Drosophila melanogaster: one gene and its partner. Changing the gene in region 1 together with any one later gene gives a genetic interaction. Each region holds a gene or a part of one and is shown in the gene's direction. Other genes may lie near its edges.

Region 1 (4,751 bases):
TGATTCAATTTAACATTCGCTTTCATACCTGTTGCACGGATTTCCAATGTCGTAGTCGAGCGTAGTCTCAACCTCCAAATCTTCAATGCAGTTATCGAACAGAACTGCACTTATTATAGTCGGTTCGAAGCTTAAGAGCCCGTTGTCGCACATCGAATCGCTTTGATTTTCCCGATATATATTTAAGTTTTCTCCATGTGGGCAGCATTTTCTTAAACGAGACGATGGTGTTGCAACTGGTTGCTTTCTGTACTTTTCCCGTTGAGAACAGTCCGCCGGATCTAACGGGTTGTCTACAGGACTTTGAACAGGAACAGAGGTTGCGAACCTAGCACCTGATATTGTTGCAGCTTCTGTCGAATATGTTTGAGGTACAACCAGTGTTGAATGTATTGAGGCGTCCAGAACGTCAATCGAAGTGCTATTGAATGTGTCTTCATGGAAAATACTAAGCAAAGCAAAATATATTATAGAAAATGCAAAGATTCCAAAATTAGTATTTTTCGAAAACAAATATTTTGAGTATTTCTTACTTTGAGTTGTTTGATCCCTTCGAACTGTTATTTACAGTGCTTATCTGTGCGGAGGCGTTAAAAAACGTTTGTAAACTGATTAGAGCTAGGAGAAAATTCCAGTGGCCTAGATTCATATTGCCTTTTCAACCAATCTACAAAAAATATATAGCATAAAATGAATAAAACAAAATTGCCGAGTTCGTTTACACAGAAAGTATGTAAACAAACCAAATTTTGACATTAGTTAGGTGGTGTGGGAACTGGTAAGATATGGGCTATCTTATCTGTGTAAGATACCAGTAGAGTGCGTTATCATAATATAACACATGACGTCAGACGAATGTGGTAGCACATTCCTTAGAATTGATCAATACTCGGAAAATTACACTCATCAACTTATACAAAACCGCGTTAAATGTCAATTTTTGCGCACTGATTATTTGATTAGATCATATTTTATTCAATTATTGTATTTTTAAAAATAAACTATTTATGGCAATTATTGTTTACGTACATGTCAAATAATTTATGCTTGCTATTTAAAATGCAACCACTGAGCTTGATTAATAAAGTAATACTAGCGAAAAAGAAGTTTTAATTCTGCAATGGAATCACTTTGTGCAGGCGATAAGATAACGATGTTTTCAGGGCTTCAAAGCAAATTGTTTACCCTAATTTCTTTAACAATAACACATTTCTCAACAAACACAATTAAAATACTTTAATTTAGTATTTTTAGAATAATTTTTTAAAAAATTTAAGTAATAATAATATAAAAACCTTTCCCAGTAAACAAAAAATCGTAACGGCAACTTATTATCGATAACATTTTTAATGGATTTTTCGTGGTCGGCAATTTACGAAATGAGATCACCAGGATTTAAAATGCGAAATTGGGTAGAATGTAATACACTAAAATAAATTTACAAAAAAATACATTTTTTTTACCGCATCAAAAATACCGTTTTAATTTTTAAGATAGTGAGCAAAGGTAAGTTTATTTTGATTACAAGTTAACGGGTTTTCTTTAAACGCCCGCTCAACACGTCGATAAAAATAAAAATACATCTGTCAGTGCGGTTCAGCGTAAATGCCAAAAGCAACCCTGCCTATATCGTTTGTGCAACCATAAAGAATTAGTTCTCCAAGCCGACCGCAAGAGGACGCTTCTGACTTCACGCAATAGAAGAGTCGCTGTGATTGGCCGACTGTACACCGTCTTTAGCTATGTTCAAAACTGTAATGTTAGGTAAAAGTCTCTTTCGCAGTGTGCTGAAGATAGTTAAAAATATTAGAATATATCGTGTTAAATCCTGTGCAATTATTCCGCAACATGCTGGGTAATTTGCGCAGTTAATCCATGTGTTAATTGTGAAAGAAGAGTGACATTTAAACAGACGCAAAAATTTTCACGGTTGCTTAAATGGCGGACAATGTGCGTTGGCTTCATTTCATCGCACTCGCACACATACAATCGAACTTGGTGGTGCTGTCCAGTGCGTTTGCCGTCCAACACTAGAAGCCAAGAATGTGTTTTGAATACATGTACTTAATGTATTTAATCGGAACCGTTATTCTGAACTAAACAAGCTCTTTTGGCGGGTTTTTTTCAACTCCAAATTTGCGCAATACAAAGAAAGTGAACACCCAACGACAAACTTTTGACGATCTGATCGATTTTTCCCCCACATACGCTGTTGAGTAAATGTGTGTTTGAATGTGCCCCGTAAATACATAGCTAGCTGAGTGCGAGTGAGATGCGGTGTGCGTTCCTGTGGCACCGTGTACTAATGGGTTAATTTTCGTTTCAGATCTAATGTGCAGCCTCGCAGCATTAACTTGGAACAATATCTGAGGAGAGTACCCCCACGCACCCCTGCACACAGCCAGATAAATACGCAAGGCGAAAACAAACAAGATGAGCGGTCGCGGCAGCCGTAAACGTGGACGTCCGCCAAAGACGCCCAACGAACGCGCATCAGGACGCTTCAATTACCAGCTTCTCAAGAAGCCGAAGTATCTCAGCGAGGGAAAGTCGCAGCCCAGCACTCCGTCGGCATCCAGGGGCATTTCTCCACAGAGCGACGAGGGCAGCAGGAGCAGCCACAACAACCACACCAATCGCAGTCGCGGGAGCGCCGCTAAGAGGGGACGAGGCCGCAAATCCGCCGTGCAACCGAACACCAGTAGCTACTCTGGAAGGAAAGGTGGGTTAAAGGGGCACCTAAACTCTAACTTGGGAGTCAAGACTTACAGTTTCGCTCTGACTAGTTCGAAGATTAATAGGGAACATAATGTGCCATATATTGATTGCAGTGGAGAAAACTTTGATCGTTTTGAATGGTACTCATACTTCAAACGAGTTTTCCTGTGCGTTAAAGAGCTTCCGCTTCATAAAAGATCAAATTTAATATTTTCGTGACAACCACTACCGGGCGAGTCAGTTTCGATAGGTCTATCTGCTCTAATACCAACGATTATTTTTGAAATCTTACGACAAAAAATCTTTCAGTCTAGTTGGCATGAGTTTAATAACAATTACTTAAATACAATTCAGTAGAAATTGGGTCCACAATAGCAGTGACAGTATGTCAGGTTTTATGCACTTAGGTGTTGGTGAAATCATATTGGTTCTAAGAGCTACTGTTCCTCTTTTCAGGGTACGAGTCGGAGTATCACTACGGGTCAGATTTTGGGGATTCCGAAGAAGATAAATCCGATAATGAGGATGATATGCTGCTTACTCCCAGCGACGACGAGAGCCTAGAAGTAGCCAACGAGAGCGAATCAGAGTTTTCCGTGTGCAGCTTTAACCAAAATGGAGTTGGTCGGCCGCCACGTCCTCCTAGCCCAGAACCTGTGTGGCTGCAGGAAGGTCGTCAGTATGCAGCGCTTGATTTGCCGGACTCGTCGGAGGATCTTTTCATTGCTAATACACACGTTTTGCGCGCGCTAAGTATCTATGAAGTACTGCGACGATTTCGCCACATGGTCCGCCTTTCACCATTCCGATTTGAAGACTTGTGTGCAGCGCTGGCTTGTGAGGAGCAAAGTGCATTATTGACGGAGGTACACATAATGCTGCTTAAAGCGATTCTTCGAGAAGAGGACGCGCAGGGTACACATTTTGGCCCGCTGGATCAAAAAGATACGGTTAATATAAGTCTTTACCTGATTGACTCTATAACGTGGCCGGAAGTTTTGCGAAGCTATGTAGAAAGCGATAAGACATTTGATCGCAACGTGTTTCACATTTTAAGCCACACTGAATACCCTTACACGGGCATTGACAACCGGCTTGAAGTGCTCCAGTTTCTGTCAGATCAATTTTTAACTTCCAATTCTATACGAGATGTAATGCTGCAGGAGGGACCTATTCATTATGATGACCATTGCCGAGTGTGCCATCGGCTCGGTGATTTATTATGTTGCGAGACGTGCCCTGCTGTCTATCATTTGGAATGTGTAGACCCGCCAATGAATGACGTACCTACTGAGGATTGGCAGTGCGGGCTTTGCCGCTCGCATAAGGTAAGTGGCGTAGTGGACTGCGTGTTGCCACAAGAAAAACAAGGCGTGCTAATCCGGCATGATAGCCTCGGTGTTGATCGTCATGGGCGCAAATATTGGTTTATTGCACGTCGCATTTTTATCGAGGATCAGGAGAACTTTACATGCTGGTATTACAGTACGACAAGTAAGTTAAAATTGCTGCTCAGTCGACTGGACGCCGAAGAACTGGAAACTCGTCTGCATAGCCAGATTACAGAAAGGAGAGACGAAATCGAGCGCCAAATGAAACTGACTGAGACCTTAACCAATGAACACAAACACACGAAGCGTAGTGTTATCGAAATCGAACAAGAGGCTAAAAATGAACTTTTGGAGAAAGAGGTGCTTGACGAGGATGAAAAAGATGGTGATGCTAAATCTGAGAGTCAATCTATAGAGGGAACAAAAAAACAAGAAGAATGTAAAATGGTCACGCGTCAAAAATCCAATCAGCTGACTAATGGTACTTTGCATTTTAAACTTGGCATGGAGCAAGGATTTAAGAACTATGTCAACCAGTATTCAACAAATCCAATTGCACTCAACAAGCCGCAACGAAACGAGGAGCGAGATAAGCGACGCCATCTGTCCCATAAGTTCTCGTTAACGACGGCTTCTGACTTTAAATGGATCGGTATAACCATGGGAACTACTGACAATATGATAACAACTCTAAGGCAAACA
Region 2 (4,747 bases), about 15 Mb from region 1:
TTCGAATTTCAAACAGTCGAGCTGGCGCACGGTGGGACAAAAGCGTTGTTTAAAAGTTTTAATGTTTTAAAGTTTCATACATTTTAATAAAATACAAAAATTTAATTTGAAAATCTTTAACTAACGTACGGCCAAACGCACTATAAAAACTAGCCAATGGAAAAAATAGTCCAGTAACGCTTATACAATTTGTTTACAAAAACCAGTTATACAATGTATTCCAAAATTTTACATAGTAATTCTATTCCTACCACTTATGTTTTGTATCCCACTGTGCTTGGTTTGCACTCATTCCTCCACCTCTGCCGAGTCACCCACCACCAACACCCCCCAGCGCGCACGCTCTCCCTCATTCTCACATCATGCTCCGTTGGTTGGTATTGCCAGCTACGAAACATGAAACATGCTCACTGCTTTAACGCCGATTGGAACTTTAAAGGGGCATTTCGAACGGCATTTCTCATGGCCCCTTCCCTGCCCAGCAGCATCATAACAGAGAAAATTGTAATCTTAAAAATTTGGACACTCGCTCACTTTATATTACTTTCTTCTCTGAGCGTTGGCTAGAAGTGCCACTCTCCTTCTCCTTCAATTCCAAATTCGACTAACTTCCCTATCGCGGGGTCTCTCCGCTCTTAAGCTGGACTTGATCTGCATACGAGAATGAGACTGGCTATATGTTTTTACCCCGTAGGGTCTCGGTCTCTGAGATGTGTCAAAAGTAACAGGTGATTGGATTGGATTCGAAAGGAGAGAGGAGAGTTAGAGACAGGGGAAAGAGAATGTAGAGCGTAAGAGCGAACCGGCTTTTCTACCATTTGTTATTATTACTTTCACAGGATCTGTTAATATTTCGGAACCGAAGAGAAACCCAGTCCCGATACATGTCTATTTTAATCTAAACCTATCAGATTCTTTTGATTCCTGTGTAACCCTCAGTAGCATTACACTTGTTCCCAGAAAAATGGAATCTGGTATCTTAAAAAGAAAACTGAAAGTAATTTATTCTGAACCCAATACCCTTCTAGATTTTGGTGATCAAACATAATAAATTGTTAGATTAGGGACTCGTTCTACGAAAATCTGCTTATCGATTTAATCATAGCTAATGTTGGAATTTATTTTTAATACAATTGCTCGATACCTTAGCTAGAATAATTCAAAAACGTTCTGAATTGTTTATCCTTCATTTTTAAACTGTAAAATTTGAGCTTATTCAGAGTGGAGTAGTATAAGAAAATGTTGAATATTTTGATACCGGATCCGATAGTTATAGAACCGGAACCTACGGATCCCGTTGACCTTTTTCTTATCGCACTCTGATATTCCAACCGGTCGGACACATGTGTTTTTCATCCGTGAAGTCGGCCCAGAATATTTCCATCATTCAATATTTACCACCTTTTATAGTTTTGTTTACTATCTTGCCGACTTTTTTGTCTTGCCGTCTTGCTCTCCTCTCCATCCTAAAAATACTCTTCCTGCGCTCCATCTGGCAATGCCGCTCGACAACTGTACTTCAAAGAGCGTTGCCAGGCAGGTCACTTCTCTCATAGATACACAGATACAGGCGCGCACGCACACCAGCACGCAAAATAACCACCACCAGCAGTACAGAAATTACACATTTTCTCCCCGAGTAGAGAACTGAAAAACTGGCCGCGCTGGCAGCGCCGGAGCAGCGAAATTCGATCGAAACCATTTACTCAGTCTCAGTTCGAGTTATCCAACGTTGGCGAGCGGACAAACAAGCAGGAGAAAAAAGCGTACGGGCAAGAGAAAGAGAAGGCACAAAATCACCCACAGCCACTGAAATTTTCTTTTGCGCTCCGGTGAGAAGATAATTTCACAAACCAAAACCGAACCAACAAACAAAAAAAGTGCGCTCCGTGAGCGGGAAAACAATAACAAAATCAAGAGACATGCGATTATAAAACGAACAAAATAACTGAGTGACAAAAAAAAATTAAATGCGTGTCTCATGGCTTGACTGTACTGTGTATTAAAAAATGTGATTGTGTCGGCTGTCCGTCTGTCTGAGTTTGTGCGCGTGTGTGTGCTGTTGGCGTTTTTAAATGTGGCGCGCTATTTTTGTGTGATTTTTGTGGGCAGCAACGAATTTTGAAACATCAATTGTATACTAGTTGTCAGTCCCCTTGTGAAAAAGTCTTCTCCAACAACAAAATTCCTGTGAGCAGCCTACACACATGCGTTGTCTCGCTCTCGCGCGCTCTGGCCCCCAAAGAGTGCGAGAGCGGGAGAGTGAGACCGAGAAAGAGAGAGAGAGAGAGAGAGCTAATAACTAACGTCTGTACTCTTTTTCTTTTCCATTTTTCATTTCAGTTTCGAGAAAGCAGCGCGCCAAGCAGCAAGAAGAGGAAGAGCAAAGGGAGTTGGAAAAGCAGTGGCGTCGTGGAGGAGGAGTAGAAAGGGGATTTTTGCGAAAAATCCCAACTTGAAGAGAATTTTCCCCGTAACCGTTAAACATTAAATCGTCGTGTTGGAGACAAATAGCAGCGAATACGCTAGCAACGCTGGGGAGGAACAACAATTGTTGGATTTGGACGCGACCGCTTTGATGTCGCTGCCAATGAATTCGCTGTATTCGCTCACCTGGGGCGATTACGGCACCAGCCTCGTATCGGCAATCCAATTGTTGCGCTGCCATGGCGACCTCGTCGATTGCACGTTGGCCGCCGGCGGGCGGAGTTTTCCCGCCCACAAGATAGTCCTGTGCGCCGCCTCCCCCTTTCTGCTGGACTTGCTAAAGGTAAGTGCTCGGTTCGGAAACACTGCCTAAAACACCTTTCAATAAGAGAGCTTGTACATAACCTCAAACGTTTCGTACAGTTTGTAAACAGAGAAATCCAATCGCAGAAATAGGTTAATGTTTGGAGCGCAGAGAAACTGACACTCGCACGCAAATGCATACATATGTATAAATAACGCAGATTTACGCTCCGCTCCAAAAGTTGTCTAGAGATTTTTGTACAAGTTTTCCACTGTCAATTGAGTTGAATGAGTGGCTCCGCCCCCCGCATTCCCGCCGTCTATCTTGCTTATCAGCTTTTTCTTGTTGCAAAGTTCACCGGAGAACGAGAGAGTGAGACGTAGAGACAGAGCGCAGACAGAGAGGGAGAGAGCGAGAGAACCAGTTGGTTCGGTCGACAGAAAAGTGGTTTTGGGCCCGGTGGTGTAACAGAGAGGGGAGAGCCGAAAGCTGGTGCGCCAACTTTTAAATCGCATGTGTTAGAGCGAGCGCAAACGAGAGCGCCAAAAGCAGCGCGGCAACTGTTGTAGTTGTTGGATGGTTGGAGCTTTCGTCTTGCCTTTTGGTTCTTGCTGTTGTTGGGTGCACACGAGCGCGACCTCTTTCTTCACAGACAGAACTGTACAGTTGGCTCTGGCTAGGGGGAACTTGAAATATTGGGGGGAATATGGATACATATACAAAGATAATTAAAATTAAATTTGTATTGATTGGTTTGATTTCCTTAACCCATTTCCTAAGCTAAGTCTTTTGTATTTTGTATGTCACCATTTTAGATTGCTAGATTGATTGTCTAACAGCAAACTTCGCTCAATTAAAAGTTCCTGGACTTTAATAGACTTATCTACTTCAAATCTTTATTTAAACTTATAACATAGTGACCAAGTCCAGATTGTACCAAAGATAAGCAAGCCTGTCTGGTGCGCTTCCCTCGTATCGAATCCAACCCGTATTTCTATAAACTAAAGCATTTCATATTAGGAAGGCGCACTTTTAAATGGAGCTTGCAAGTTTTTTCATGAGCTGTATTGCGATACTGTACTTTTTAACAACTCATTTGCACTTTAACTTTGACGCTTTTCCGCCACTCTGTCGATTGTTCAAAGTGTGCGCTTAAGTATGAAAGTTGGACCGTCTTCAATGCGTGGCCCTATCGTAATGGAAATACTGACCAAAACAGAGCGCGGCCAGCGAAATGAAAACACCTGATGCGACGCCGACAGCGGCTACTCTGCGCTTCGCTCCCCCTTATTCTCAGCGCTCCTCATCTCTCCTCTCCTTTTCTGGGCCGTGAAAAAGTAAACAGAGCGAAATTTTTGAAAACGCCGCTCAGAGCCGTCGTGGGGAAATGTCAAAGAAAAAAAAAAAAAAACAAAAAGAACGGGACCAATGCGGCTGTGAACTCTGCAAGAGTCCGAAAAGTACAAGATGTACTGATCTCGTTACACTCACACACGCACGCAAAAACACATGGCGGTCGCTCTTTGTTGCTCTTGCTCCCTCTCCCTTGCTCCTACGGCAAATGGAATGCAACTCTGAAAAATCGATGAGCGAGACTTTGGTTGGAGGCAGAGTTCAAAGAGCGCAAATGGGAGTGCGGTGAGATGTGTCATTTCAAGAGATTGGCATTGGATGAAGGGAGGGTGTTGGTTGGTGAGTCCGTAAATGGAGAGGGGTTGTTTTCTGAGCAATGCTATATAATTAAATGTTTGGAGCGGGAGCGGGAGCGGGAGAGGACACAGAAGAAGAACAGCTAAGCGCTCTTTCTTTAAGCGCTGCTCTGTTTTCTTTTTCAGCATCTGAAATCTCAAAATCCTGCTGCAGAATGTGCAGAGCGCGCAAAAGTAAAAGCCGGTTGTCTTTTGTCTGTGTCACTGTGTGCGTGAGCGGAGGAGAGTGTGAGCGACGCGTCGCACCGCGAGTTTCCATTATTTCCATCTCCGTCCGACTGTTTTTGTTATTGTTTTTATTTGGATT

What was found.
Region 2: of E(bx) (region 1) and Trl, changing one suppresses a phenotype caused by changing the other (phenotypic suppression), as found in Drosophila melanogaster (one study listed by BioGRID).

The regions. Positions count from the first base shown.
Region 1 is NT_037436.4:243,899-248,649, reverse strand, and holds the start of E(bx) (enhancer of bithorax), read left to right. Parts: upstream 1-1,737; 5' UTR 1,738-2,267; intron 2,268-2,326; 5' UTR 2,327-2,433; coding exon 2,434-2,722; intron 2,723-3,174; coding exon 3,175-4,751. Other genes in the region: mthl14 (methuselah-like 14), read right to left, coding at 29-448, 534-649. UniProt on the Drosophila melanogaster protein: Histone-binding component of NURF (nucleosome remodeling factor), a complex which catalyzes ATP-dependent nucleosome sliding and facilitates transcription of chromatin.
Region 2 is NT_037436.4:14,754,927-14,759,673, reverse strand, and holds the start of Trl (Trithorax-like), read left to right. Parts: upstream 1-1,711; 5' UTR 1,712-1,832; exon of another isoform or gene 1,833-2,190; intron 2,191-2,337; exon of another isoform or gene 2,338-2,343; 5' UTR 2,344-2,578; coding exon 2,579-2,770; intron 2,771-4,747. UniProt on the Drosophila melanogaster protein: Transcriptional activator that functions by regulating chromatin structure. Overcomes the repressive effects of chromatin by promoting the open chromatin conformation in promoter gene regions, thereby allowing access to other transcription factors.